Linked DNA regions of Mus musculus. The protein of the gene in region 3 interacts with the protein of the main gene of each other region in a pairwise test. Links are inferred from orthologs where the notes say so. Each region holds a gene or a part of one and is shown on either strand. Other genes may lie near its edges.

Region 1 (4,569 bases), on a different chromosome or scaffold from region 3:
CACATGTAAATCAATGAGATCTCCTTGACATTCAATTATAAAATGCCAAATGTAAACTATACTTGGGAGGTGGACGTAAGATCAGCTAAGTTCTGTCTGTTGTCACGCGTTAATTTTTCCATAACTATTACATACCTAAGAGCTGAACATAAGCTTCCCATGCCAATCTTAAGACTTTACATGTAAAACAGCACATACAGTTATATGTTATCAATCTCTGCATAAGCACTAAGTTCTTCAAAGACCTTTACGTACATAGATCAAGTTATTCATATATTTATTTATAGACCAGGTTTCACTAGCCCAGGCTAGCCTTAAATTTATGGCAATTCTCCTGCTTCAATCTTAACTGCTGGGATCACAGCTGCAAAATACCATGCCTCGCACCACTTTAAAAAAAGGGGGCAGTGGTGGTGGTGCACGCCTTTAATCCCAGCACTTGGGAGGCAGAGGCAGGTGGATTTCTGAATTCGAGGCCAGCCTGGTCTACAGAGTAAGTTCCAGGACATCCAGGGCTACACAGAGAAACCCTGTCTCAAAACAAACAAACAAACAACAAACAAAACAAACCAAACAAAAAGGGCTGGAGAGATGGTTCAGCAGTTAAGAGCACTGACTGCTCTTCCAGAGGTTCTGAGTTCAACTCCTAGCAACCACATGGTGGCTCACAACCATCTGTAATGGGATTTGATGCCTTCTTCTGGTGTGTCTGAAGACAGCTACAGTGTACTCATATAAATAAATCTTTTAAAAAGGATTCTTTATTTCAACTTGTTACTCTTATAGGCTCTTTAGTGGGAGGGCTCACTTTCCCTGTATAGGTCAAAAGAAAATACTGGAATCATTATAAATGACCAATGATAAAATGATCAACGTGGAAAGTGAGAGATTCCCAAAGAAAATGTTTAATTCTTTTTAAAATGATTACACTGTTCTCTTTAGTCTCTGAATTAAGTCCCAAACATCACTATGTGCCCAGGTAAAATGCTAGGGACTAAGAGTAAAGCAGAATTCCTATTCTCATGGTGTGTTCAATGAACTCTACTGAACTTTCATCTGAGTGTCTATGTAACAGCGACATGCTAGTCATTTGAGGCATGCAGAAGAAATCTACCCCTTCCTTGGACCTTACAACTTGGTAGAACAGAGAAACACACACAACAGTAACAGAAGACAGGAAGTGATACAAGCCACGGAAAGAACAGTGGTAAGACAGACAGAAAAAGAAGAAAGACACGTTCATCATTTCTGTGTCCCAGACCACAGACTAAAAATTAAGCCGGCTTAGCATGGGGCCCTTCAGATGTTAATCTGAGGTTCGATACATTATAGCACAAGCAACTATATGTCCTTTTGATTTTACTTTGCAGCTTCCACAGATAAGGTCACTGAACTTCTGTGTCAAACAAGAAAGTACAAGGGAATATAATGTACTACAGAGATTAAAAGTATGGATATCAAACAAGACTGTCATTTGGGATTCTGTGTCTCTAAGTTAAAATTATTTCCTCCTCGGAGTATTAACTTCCTCTAACCAAAACCAGGGGATGAAACTACCTAAGGGGTTGACGTATTCCATACCATTTAGCTAACTATGGCACTCTTGGAGAAGAGAGCATAATGGGACCAATAATCTCTACCAAGATGTAATTCACAATTAAAAAAAAAAAAAAGTCACATTGCTTCCTGTGGATTGTCCTTTATGGATAGACCACGGCTTTACAAATCAGCAGACTCAGGTAATTGGTTATCTATTTTAGGCCTTAGTTTCCTCCTCATGAAACGACAGGGTGGGACCAGATGATTTAAAGAGTCTCTTTCCGGCCCTAAAAAGCCCCATGACTCTATTATGACTTAATACACTGACTTCATATCAGGCTTTAAGAGTGGTAAGGGCTTTAAATTAAAAGAATTTCTCCATTCAATTAAGTTACTTCTTGCTAAGATAAACTCCTTTCAGGCAAGTCTCGACAACGTTCTAATTATACAAAAGAAAACTGAAAAAAAAATGAATTTACAAGCTAGAGGCACTCGGTATATATTAATACACACTGCCAGCAAAGCAAACATTTCAACGAGACTCAATTGATTTTTAAAATATTGAAAAGTCCAGCCTGCATCGTAATGTCAACTTTCAACTTAGTAAAAAAAAAAAATGTGAGTTCCTATTACTGTAATAAAGAAGTGCTTGTATGCACACGAGTCGAGAGTCGCAGGGCCAAAATATCTTTCTAAAGCATTGGGGGGTGGGAGGGGGCAAGCGAAAGGAAAGCAATCCCATCTGCTCAAAACTCTTAAGCGAAGATGTTTCTTCCAAAGGCATCTTCTCCTCCCGCCCCCCTCCACCCCAAGGAAAATCCCGAGGGCCTAGTTCCCAAATTCACGGCGCTGATAAGTCAGTTTCAGAATCAGACACCTCGAGATGGCGAAAAGAAAAAAAAAAAAAAAAGGAGAAGAGGACAAACTTCCTGGATTTTTCTCTCTGCAAGAGAAAAAGAGATTTCCTCTTGCTGACGAAGGAAAGGCCCCTTTAACATTTTTTTTTTCCCTCTGCACGGTGGCGGCTGCCAGACTAGGTGGGGCTCGCTCCGCTGCCTTCCTCCTGCCACTTCCCGCAACAAATGAAGCAAGCCAGCCCCGATCCGGGCAAACTTTTTCCCTGTCAGGCTCGAGCCCGCGGGGCGCCGGGGAGTGGTCCCCCCGCCCCCCCTCGCGACGCTGCTCCGCCCGCCCGGCCCCGGGCTGGGAGAAGCCCGGGTGTCCGCAGAGGACAACTTTCTGGTTTCCGCTCTAACTTCCACCCACCGCCGAGGCGGGGAGCGGGGCGCGGCGGGGAAGGCTGCGGGGGCCTCGGGCAGGCGGGTGGGGGCTCCTCGGGCGCTCACTTCCTCCGCCATATTTCAGACATTTGACCCCTTCCGCAAAGCGCGCTGCTCCCCCGCCGCGGCCGCGGTTCCTCCCCGGCCGCCCCGAGGCGGCGCGCCCCGCCGAAGCGAGCGAGGGACTCGGGGGGCCCCCCGCCAGCCACCTGCCGCGCGCCCGGGCCACCCTCGCCGCCGCGGGGGCCATCGGGCTGCCCCGCCCGGTCCGCGCCGCACCCCACCTCTCCCCTCAGCCGGCGCCCGGCCCCCCGCCAGCCTCGCGGCCACGCACGCACCCCGCGCCCACCTCTCGCGCTGTCACCGGGTCGCCGCCGTCGCCCTCGCCGTCGCCGCGCGTTCCCTTCGGGTCGCTGCTCCCGGCGCCACGGCGGTCTCTGCCGCTGCCGCCGTCGCCGTCGCCGCCGCCGCCGCCGCTCGGGCTGCTTTCCACGCCTGACTCTGGGCGAGGTTTGGCGGTGTCGCCTTGACGTCAGGCGTTCAGCCTCGCTCTCGCTTCCGCCCGCGGGCGGGGCGCGCAGGAGCGCAGCCCGGGAAGGGGCGGGGCCGAGGCGGGCCCTGGCGGAGGGGGGCGGGGTCTCGTCGTGCTCGCCTCGCAGTGGGCCTCGCCCCGGCTCTCGGTCGCCGGCTCCGGCCGTGGCCCTTCTCCCCTGCCCTGCGTCTCGTTGCTGCGGTCGGCCTCGCCCCCCGCTGGCTGGGCTGTCCGACATAATCGGTGTCAGCCTCAGCGGAGCGCATCCGTTTCGACCCCAGCGGGTAACGGGGAGCTCAGGGGCTTGGAAACCTCTGACGCCTTCGCGGGGCCTCCGAGTGCACAGTCGCCAACGCCCCCAGACCGTCGGTGTTCGCGTGGTCCTTTGTGCTGGGGAAGTAACAGAGCAGCAGTTCCCACTCCCAGAGCGCGAGGGCAGCTTTTCATTTTTCAAATGGCCTTTCTTTAGGTTTGACAAGTATTTCAGCCTGTGGTGTGTTAAGCAGGGCCAGCTGTCCAAATTACCCTGCCAGACGCAGTTCGCGAATGGAGGATTCCAAAGCATGCTTATGGCCTGTGCCTAAGTGAACAGTTTATAGAATTAAAATAATTGGTTCATGGAAGAGCATGCCTGGGGCGCCTTCATGACTTTATAGATTACTCATAGATGTCAGTCTATGATGTGACTCCGAAAAGCTCTGTCCAAAAATGACTTGTTCCAAAGAGCACAAGAACTTACATCGATCTAGGTAATTAGAATATTTTCTCACCATCACCTTTAATATGAGAATCATGCTATCAGAGCTTTGTTTGGAAGACTTTGTTTCTGCTCTGATTACGCTCTCTTCATTGCGTGGTCCTGGCTGGCCTGACCTTGCTATGTTGACCAGCTTGGCTTTCATCTCAGATACACCTGCCTCTACGTATGGAGTGCTGGGGATTAAAGGCATGCGCCACCACTGCCAGCGAGGGAAAAGGTTTTGATGAACAAAACTTGAGAGGAAAGTACTGAAAGGAGTAGGCAATTTAGCTGGCCCTCCCTGTACAAATTATTCTGGAAATTTAACGAACCCTAGAAGAGAAATGGAGACGTGACCACTACGCTAACCTGAGTTAAGTGAGCGAGTAAGAAAGAATTATAGCTGGGTCTCAGGATGCCAGTCTGTAAGAGCACACCTCTTTCTTCTGCAGACTGAGCAGGAGGTGGCTCCTTGCAAA
Region 2 (4,653 bases), on a different chromosome or scaffold from region 3:
GGCAAGGGAACTGACTGATCACTCCCTCTTTTCTAAAACAACTCCCTAACAACTTCCTTCCTTCCAAGGGGTTCCTCTAACCTGACTGTCAACTCTGCTTATCTTTAACCTCTAAGTTTCTCTTGGTCCTCTCTTCCAGTTACTCCCCATCCCTAAGAGAGTTTATGTAGACCGGAGGGTCAAATCATCTACATCCTGATGGATCTCAAATTTATATCTCAGACTCATCACCACTGAACTTTCTCCATCCCCCATAAAACTGAACTCTCAATTTCTTTGGTCCCAGCTTTGTTCTTACCCTATCTTCTCTCTTATTAAATGATATCAGTCAGCAGGCCCCCAACCTAAGATTCATTCCTAATTGTTTCGTTCGACCCTCTGCTTTCTCAAGTCTAAATCTATTAAAATAGGTTTAATAAAGCTAAAATAAACAAAATCTAAAATAAAATAACCACTCTTGGCCAATTGGACGAGAATAGCCACCTTAGACTTCCCCTGTGAACATTCGTGCTTCAGTTGGATATTTTACATACACAGTGAGACTCACTCCAGTTCCCGATGGGCCTGAAACTCATTGTGTAGTCCAGGCTAACCTCAAACTCGTGGCAATTCTGTTCCTGTTTTCAAAATGCTGGGATTCCAGGAGTAAACCACCACGCCCTGCATAAAGTTAACCTTTAAAAACATGAACTAGATATAGTTGTTTCTGGGCCCACCCTCTCCTCGGGGCTTCCTGTTGTCATTACAATGGCCCAAAGGCTCCACCGGGTCTGGTCGTTTGTCCAGATCTTGGCGCCTCAGTACTCTTTGGCCATAGACTCTACTTATCTATCCATCCTTTCGCTTGCATTTTGCTAGTTGTGAAATATGGAAGACACACCCCACCTCGGGGTTTGTGGCTGATTTCCTCTCAACCCAGGAAGGTATTCTTCTCATCCAGCCTCTTTTGGATAGGCTCGTTTCTTCATAGCACGAACAAAAGCATGCAAAGCCCTCCCTGGTGACCTGTGAATTTTGCTACTCTTTTTGTTGTTCGTGTTCCCTCTCCTGGGTCACGAGGATGAGAGCTCTATAAGTGACTTTCCCTATGTATGCCTAGGCATTGGGGACCTACTAGGCACTCAACTAACAGCTGTCCCATGGTTGCATCCCTTCAAAATTCTCTTTCTGATTTTTTTTTCCCTTCCTCATTTCAATGTTGGCCTTAACCACCTTCTCAAAGGCAAGGCCCCAGTTCCTGTTGGCACACTATGCCCCCCACCCTTTGAAGAACGGCTCCCTTAAATAGATTCCGGACACAGCGGGGAAGGCGGAGACCAGGGCGGGGGGGGCGGGGCCTGCGTGCTGCGTGCGTGCGCGTTCCGGAGGCGCCGCCGCCGCCGCTCCCGAGGCCGCTGCTCCTGCCGCCGCCGTGCAGAGCCCGAGCCCGAGCCGCGGCCGAGAGGAGGGAGGAGGAGGAGGTGGAGGAGGCGCCGGGCCGCGGGGTGAGTACGGGGTGCGAGTGAGGGGCGCGGACTGGCCGCACCTCGGTGGCCTATTCTTAACCGTCCGCGAGTCCGGGGCGGCGGCCGGGGGCCCGGCGGGCGGGAGGGGCCGCGGCTGAAGGCCGGAGCCAGCCACGCCCGCGGACCGAGGCGGCCCGGCGGGGCCTGCGGGACCGGCCGCGAGGGGCGGGCCGCGAGATGGGACGCGTGTCCGCGCCCGCTCGGCTGTCGTCCCCGCGGACGGAGAGGTGCGGTGCCCTCCGCGCGGCCTTTGCCCCGGCCGCCGAGCGCTGACACCTCTGTGTCCCACTCCGCCGCCAGCCCGGGTTCCCGCCCTCCCTGCCCTCTGTATTCTGCCGCTTGCCATGTGTTCGCCTTTGCAGCGTCGCTCTCGACTCTCTGATATCTGCTGCTACCCCTGAATTTTGTCAGGAAAGAGGCCACGGTGTGATTCCGGTCTTCCGCCCACCGAGGGCGTGTGAGGAGTGTGGGGTGGTGGGATTGTAGCTTGTCTCCTTACTCAGAAAGTTAAGGGCAGTGTCTTCTGCTGAGTTGTGTAATTGGCTGTTGTAAGGAGAAGAGCAAGGAAGGACAGTTGTGTCCCCCGCGTCCGCCCCCCCTCCTATCTGAGATTTCCTCACAGGATAGAAAACTAGAGTTGAGGGGACCTTTCATGCCTTGGAAAAAGAGCTACCGCTCAGAAACTGTGAGTGTATTGCCGTTGGGAAAGGAAAATCGTTTTGTCGCTGCTTTGAAGGAAGTACTGTGTAAGAAATGGAATAAAAGGGCAGGAGGTTAATGGGCCAAGCGGGACAGGTACCAACCGCTGTTGTCTGCTTCTTGGGTGGCTGAAGATACTGTTTTTATTAGAGTCAAAGTGTCGACTCTCAGAATTAACCAGGGGAGTTAGCCTTCAGAAGCGGGCGGTTAGAAGAGATGATGCTGGAAACAGGATTTGGAAACTTTCTTTGAGTTTCCTGTCAGAGTGTGTGGGGGTAGATATGCCTGTGAGTACTTTTTTCTTTTGATGTAATTGATTTCTGTAACACTTTGGTAGAGTAAGTACTAGATTAGGTCCCAGACTCTTTCCTGTCTTTATGCTCTTCTGTAACACTTTGTTTCAAAATTAAATTTACATTTTCGGATATTCTTTCTTAGTGTGACTCTTGTTTAGTTTAGTTCCTTGCTACTTCAGGTTCTGTTATGATTGTGTTCGTTAGCAAGGATTATACCTGTCCCAGCATTTGTCGAATGAGTTGAGTGGTCTGTTTACACATCTCTTATCTTTTTGAGAGAAATCTTTATGTTAAATGTTGCATTCCGCTTCCATTATAAAAAATGTCATTCTTAACCATTTCTAGAACATGGTGATGCATATGAACTCTTCCTTTGCCCAGGAAAAACAAAACAGACATTTATCCCCAGAATGTTGTATTCAGCTTCTGGTCTCCTCTAAAGCCACCCATAGACACCGATCTTAAAAGTGAACAGAGATCTCGATGTTATTCAGTTTCATATTAAAACTTTGCAAAAGTGCACACTTTTTGTGGCCTCAGGTGTGATCGTGCTTTCACCCTAAATTCTGAGGATTTTGGAACAAGGTTTAAAATTGATTTCAGTTTTATGAGGAAAAGTTCTCAGGAACCTCTCTCCCCTCCCCCCAATCTCCTGTGGCTCAGTGGTGTCACTGAGGAAGACCTTGAACCACCAACTCTCTTGCCTCGACCTCCAGAGTGCTTGGATCAGTATAGACTTCCCTGGTTTATGTGGTGTTGGGATGAAACCCAGCTTCATGCAGGGAACTTTTAGCAGTCATTTTGTTTGTAGTGTTGAGGAGCTAATCCAGAGCCTCAAGCAGGGTTGGCAAGCACTTTGCCCCTGAGCTATATCCCCGGCTCTAACCAGTAGCCATTTTTAACCAATACTCCCTAGTATATTTTGACCCCTCTAAACTCATAATCATGACTAATCAGACTTTTGTATAATCTATGTTTTAGTAATATGAGCATTTGAAAATCAAATAATTTCTTTTTTTTCCTCTTCCAAGCTTGTTCATATGTGTGGTCTTCATGTAGTCAGTTGTGAAAATATGCAACATTCAGGAAGTACTTAATTGAATGTCTGCTGTGTGGATAAGGAGTTCTTGCTGTCATCCCTTCAGCAGGAGGGACAAGACCCTAGCCAAGTAAATGTAGTGTCAGGTGTTAGAGCTGTGTGGAAGGGTGAGGACTGGTGAGGGGCTAGAGAATACTGTCAGGGAAGACCTGAAGGAAGTGAGGAGGGCTGTGTGCTTCCTCAGATGCAAAAAGATGACAGGAAGAGCGAGCGGCCTGCTAGGGCAAAGACCCTCCAGTATATGTGACCCTTTGAGAACAGCTAGGAGGGCAGTGTGGTGTAAGAACAGTAAGCAGGGAGAGAAGAGGGCTTGAGATTAGAGAAGTAAGGGGGGCTCTTACACTCAGTACTGGGACGTTTGCATTTTACACTGACTGACATGGGGGAGCCCTTAGAGTAGAAGAGAGACCTTATCTGACCTAAGTTTATGAACATCCTTCTGACTATTGTGTGGAAGTCAACTCAGGTTGGGGAAGGAAGGAAAGAGTAGGATCTAGGATTTTTTTTTTTCCTTTCCTTTTTTAATGTTCTGGGGATTGAACCCAAGTCCTTGAACTTGCTAGGCAAATGCCTAGTAACCAAGTTACATCCTGCCCTATGTCTTCCTTTTTAACCTTTCAACCATGCTAAGATTGTCCATCTTCTTTCTGTCGGGCATGTAGGTATCCTCTCCTCCCCATAGAATAACAATGATGGTTCACAGTAGTCTAGGCAACATTTTTTTTTTCCTTTTGGAATATTTCTTTGTGATTTATTTCTAAAAGGATCAGTATGTGAATAGACATATAGTTAGTTGGCCATCTAGTTTTAACAGCCGTGTTTTCTGAGCACAAGTTTCATGGCAATTTAGTTTTCATTGGGTGTTATCACCACAGACGATTGTTTTTAGACAGGTTGAATTTAGCTCATTTTTGCTTTTCACAGAGTGCTAATTAGTGGGAATATAGGGGTGAATTAGAGGGCCTTTGCTCTCAGGGAACTTTTACATTCTTCTGTGCTTTATAATCTAATAGTGAAGTAGCTGAGTCTTGACAGTGTTTTCTGTTACTGTGAA
Region 3 (3,724 bases):
CCTGCTTGTTCCTAAAGACTGATTTATTTTTGTGTGTATGAGGTTTTACCTACATGTGTTCCAGTGTTACATGTGTGCCTGGAGGCCAGAACAGGGCATCAGATTTTCTAGAAAATACATGTGATGGTGAGCCACCATGAGGAATCCAGTTCGTGTCCTCTACAAGACCAACCATCAAGCGCCCTGCCAGCCCCTCTTCCTACAAACCCTACACATTTCTGTGTTTGTGAACATGTGGTACACATGGTGACCTCACTTACAGAAGTTGGACTTTCCCCACCATGTTGGTCCCAGGGAGCAGAGTTGGGTTGTCAGGCTTAGTAATGGGTACTTTCACCTCCTGAGCCACCCTGCTGCCTTACAACCTACCACTTCTTTCTATCTCATTCACCTACCTACCTATCTTCCTTCCTTCTACCCATCCATCCATCCATCCATCCATCCATCCATCCATCCATCCATCCATCCATCTACCTACCTACCTATCGTATGTGTATGAGTGTTGGCTGCATGCTTTCCTGAGGAGCCAGAAAAGAGGCATATCCCCTGGAGCTGGAATTACAGGTGGTTGTGAGCTGCCTGATATGGGTACTGAGAAGCAAACCCAGGTCCTCTCCAAGAAGCCTGCCTCTGGGCTCTGCCCTCCACACCTCCCTGAGATTTCCGCATATGTGTGTGCTCTTAGCTGTAGAGCCCCCACCCCACTCCCCAATCTCCTATCTCTATAGAGACTGATCCCTGGAGCCACCGCCTGACACCAGCCATTCACAGGCCATCTCCTCATGAGAACACCCCAGGAGTGCTGAGAGGCTGTAGCACTGAGCACATCACTCCTTTAACTTGTCTGCTGCACATGAAGTGGGTGTGTGCTCCTTCAGCTGCCTCTTCTCTGCCTGCATGAAATCAACTGAGTCCTTACAAAAGAGTCAGAAAACCCTGAAAATAAGCAAGGAAATAAAAACAGTAAAACCACAGTGACCAGGCCGTAGTAGAAACGGGATTTTAATATAATATTCAAGTCTAGCATTTTCTATTTACAACAAATAAATATTGTCCCACCCCAATCAGTAAACTTTTTACGTTTTATACAAATGTTCAGTTGTCTTCCTCCTCCCCACAAACCTCCCACTGCGTGTCGTCTTGTACAGCCCGGATGCAGCGGTGGTCAATGGCACTTTCAGTGGACTGGGATTCAATACCAACCGGGCAGTTCACGAGAGGGCTTCTCTCTCTGATCCAAGGGAGGGCTTGGGCTCCTGGTGGGCGAGGCTCCCTCACTCTGTAGGCCCTGAAGGTGGAATCTTTGGTGCAGCCTGAGAAAGGCTAGAGTGTGGGAGGAAAGGCTAGGACCTCCATGAAAGTCCCAGGCCAGTGCCTGTGGGCACAAGGAGAGAATGCAGTCGGCAGCCCTGCTGGGTGTATGTGTGTCCTGGAGCATCCGGGAGCATGGGTGGCAGTGATCTGCACCTGGGGAGGTGTCAGCAAAGTGTGGTGGATAGTGTCCAGGGCAGGCAAGGTCCCATGCCCAGTTGGCAACACTCCTTGGCAAAAGTCAGCTAGTCCTCTGGTTTCAGAGAGCAGAAGGCACCGAAGGCGGCAAGTGGTCCCCAGAGGCCAGGTCAGCCTGTCAGTGGCAGGTGTCAATCCCGGCAGCAGGAGAGGTTCAGGGTGAAAGTGGAGTAGGGGGGTAGCCTGGACTGGCAGGTGGGCAGAGGTACCTGTGTGGCCAGGGCCACTCTAGTCTGTAAGTGCTTAGTCTCCAGCCAGTCAGCCCGTCCCAGGAGACGTCCTTAGAAGATGCCTTTGGCAATCCTGAGTCCCTTCTGCTTCATACGAGGGAGGGTGGAGCTGGCTCCATGCTTGACTTTAGCCCCCTTAGTGAAGGTCCGCTTCTTTAGGATGAAGTCATAGTTGGCGGTAGAGTTCATGGCATAGAACACATTGGCGTTTTCTGGAATCTTCAGCTCTGGTGGGAGAGGGACAGGGAGTGGTGCTTTATGCGGCTGAGATGCCCCCACCTCCTGAGAGCCTCCTCCCGGCCAGGCCACAGCAGGGCCTTGGGAGTCCTCCAATCCAGCTCCAACAAGGACCTCTCCTGCGACCCCAGTAGAGGTCAATGAGAGCCTAAGGAAGTCTCTCCACACCACCTTTACGGCTCTCTCTGCTGGCTAGGACTTCCAGCCAGAGCAGGTTTCCAGGAATCCACACTGCCTTCCATGATGCTCCACTGCTACTCACCAAGGCTCCAAGGACCAGCAGAGGGCAGAACCTTCCTCTGGGTTCCATTCCACTAGTCACCTCTGGCCTAGAATCTGTCCATCATTACCAAGCGGGACTTCCTGCTGACCCCGTGTCTGCCTCTAGTTCCTGAGCCTCTGTAGGCCTGCCTTCTGGAAGGAAGGGGCCCCCTCACCCTGTCCATATAACCAAAACAGTGGAGAAGCTGAGAGGAGGTTTGCAGTAGAACATCTAGGTATCTTGGGAGTTACTGCAGACAGCAGCAAATGGTGAGATGGGGGTGTTCAGCTCACTTCAGCAGTGTCTGTGGTGACAGACATGGGTGGCCTCTGTGGTGATGTCTCTCTCTAACATTAAGCTGCTGGCCACAGCCTCCTTTTGGGGAAAAGGACATAGGCACAGAGCCCCTGAAATTCTCCAAGATCCTTGAGAATGGCCTGATTTTTCTATTTATCTTTTTAATTACATTCATGCATCTATGGAGGCCCAAAGAGGGCATCACATCCTGTACAACTGGACTCATAGGAGGTTGTCAGCCAGCTGTGGAGAAGCTGAGAGGGGGGAACTGAACTCAGATCCTCTGCAAGAGCAGCACACACTTAGGGGATTATAAGTAACCATGTGGGTACTAGGTACTGACTCAGGACCTCTGGAAAAGCATCAAGTTCTAACTGCTGAGCCATCTGTCCAGCACACAGTAGTCTGTACACTGTAACCACTAGGCTGTCTGCCCAGCACACAGTACACTGTACACTGCACACTGTACACTGTAACCACTGAGCCGACTCCCCAGCCCAGGCTTGTGACTCCATCCTTCTTTCTAGAATGCTGACTCGTCTGTGCGCTTTTTTGCATCTCATGTGTGGATTTTTTTTTAAAGATGTATTTATTTGTATTTTGTGTGTGTTGGTGTTTAGCCTGCATGTATGGCTAGGAAGGTGCCAGATCTATGCAAATGAAGCTACAGTGATGAGCTGCCATGTAGGTGCTGGGAACTGAACCTGGGTACCCTGAAAGAGCAGCCAGCGCTCTGAACCGCTGAGCCATCCAGCCTCTCGTGTGTGGATTTTAAACTGAGCATTCTTCCTGAAGTACCTGCTTTCTTATTTTAACCAGGCAATGTCCTCTCTGACAGGCCCACGCATGAGCCTCTCTCCTCAACTCTTGTCTCTTATGGAGAGGCCCAGCAGCAGGCTCTGGGGAAGGGGCCGGTGCTGAGCCGCCCCTCAGCCCTGGCCTACAGTTGACTGACTTACTGTGATCCTCTGAGATGATCTGCACCAGCTCATAATCCTCCGGCTCGTCCTCATCTAGGTTGTGTTTGTCCATGGCTTTTCGGATGACAGTCGGAGCCTTATCCTGGCTGGTCACCTGAATTGGGATGGGGAGCAGGCTATCAGGACAGGGCACAGTGTCCTACAACAGCTTGCCACCAACTTCCACATGGTCTTGGGGAGCTATGTGCCCCTGAAGCAAGAGGAACCAA

The links.
Region 1: the proteins of Ralgds (region 3) and Rap1b interact in binary tests that used the Homo sapiens proteins (3 or more experiments, as listed by UniProt). The link is inferred for Mus musculus from reciprocal best matches to the Homo sapiens genes RALGDS and RAP1B.
Region 2: the proteins of Ralgds (region 3) and Rap1a interact in a two-hybrid assay, tested with the Homo sapiens proteins (3 studies listed by BioGRID and IntAct). The link is inferred for Mus musculus from reciprocal best matches to the Homo sapiens genes RALGDS and RAP1A.

The regions. Positions count from the first base shown.
Region 1 is NC_000076.6:117,842,663-117,847,231, forward strand, and holds the start of Rap1b (ras-related protein Rap-1b), read right to left. Parts: upstream 3,313-4,569; 5' UTR 3,169-3,312; intron 1-3,168. UniProt on the Homo sapiens protein: GTP-binding protein that possesses intrinsic GTPase activity. Contributes to the polarizing activity of KRIT1 and CDH5 in the establishment and maintenance of correct endothelial cell polarity and vascular lumen.
Region 2 is NC_000069.6:105,798,070-105,802,722, reverse strand, and holds the start of Rap1a (ras-related protein Rap-1A), read left to right. Parts: upstream 1-1,341; 5' UTR 1,342-1,484; intron 1,485-1,660; exon of another isoform or gene 1,661-1,929; intron 1,930-2,152; exon of another isoform or gene 2,153-2,190; intron 2,191-4,653. UniProt on the Homo sapiens protein: Counteracts the mitogenic function of Ras, at least partly because it can interact with Ras GAPs and RAF in a competitive manner. Together with ITGB1BP1, regulates KRIT1 localization to microtubules and membranes.
Region 3 is NC_000068.7:28,550,334-28,554,057, reverse strand, and holds the end of Ralgds (ral guanine nucleotide dissociation stimulator), read right to left. Parts: intron 3,610-3,724; coding exon 3,495-3,609; intron 1,967-3,494; coding exon 1,791-1,966; 3' UTR 976-1,790; downstream 1-975. UniProt on the Homo sapiens protein: Functions as a guanine nucleotide exchange factor (GEF) activating either RalA or RalB GTPases and plays an important role in intracellular transport. Interacts and acts as an effector molecule for R-Ras, H-Ras, K-Ras, and Rap.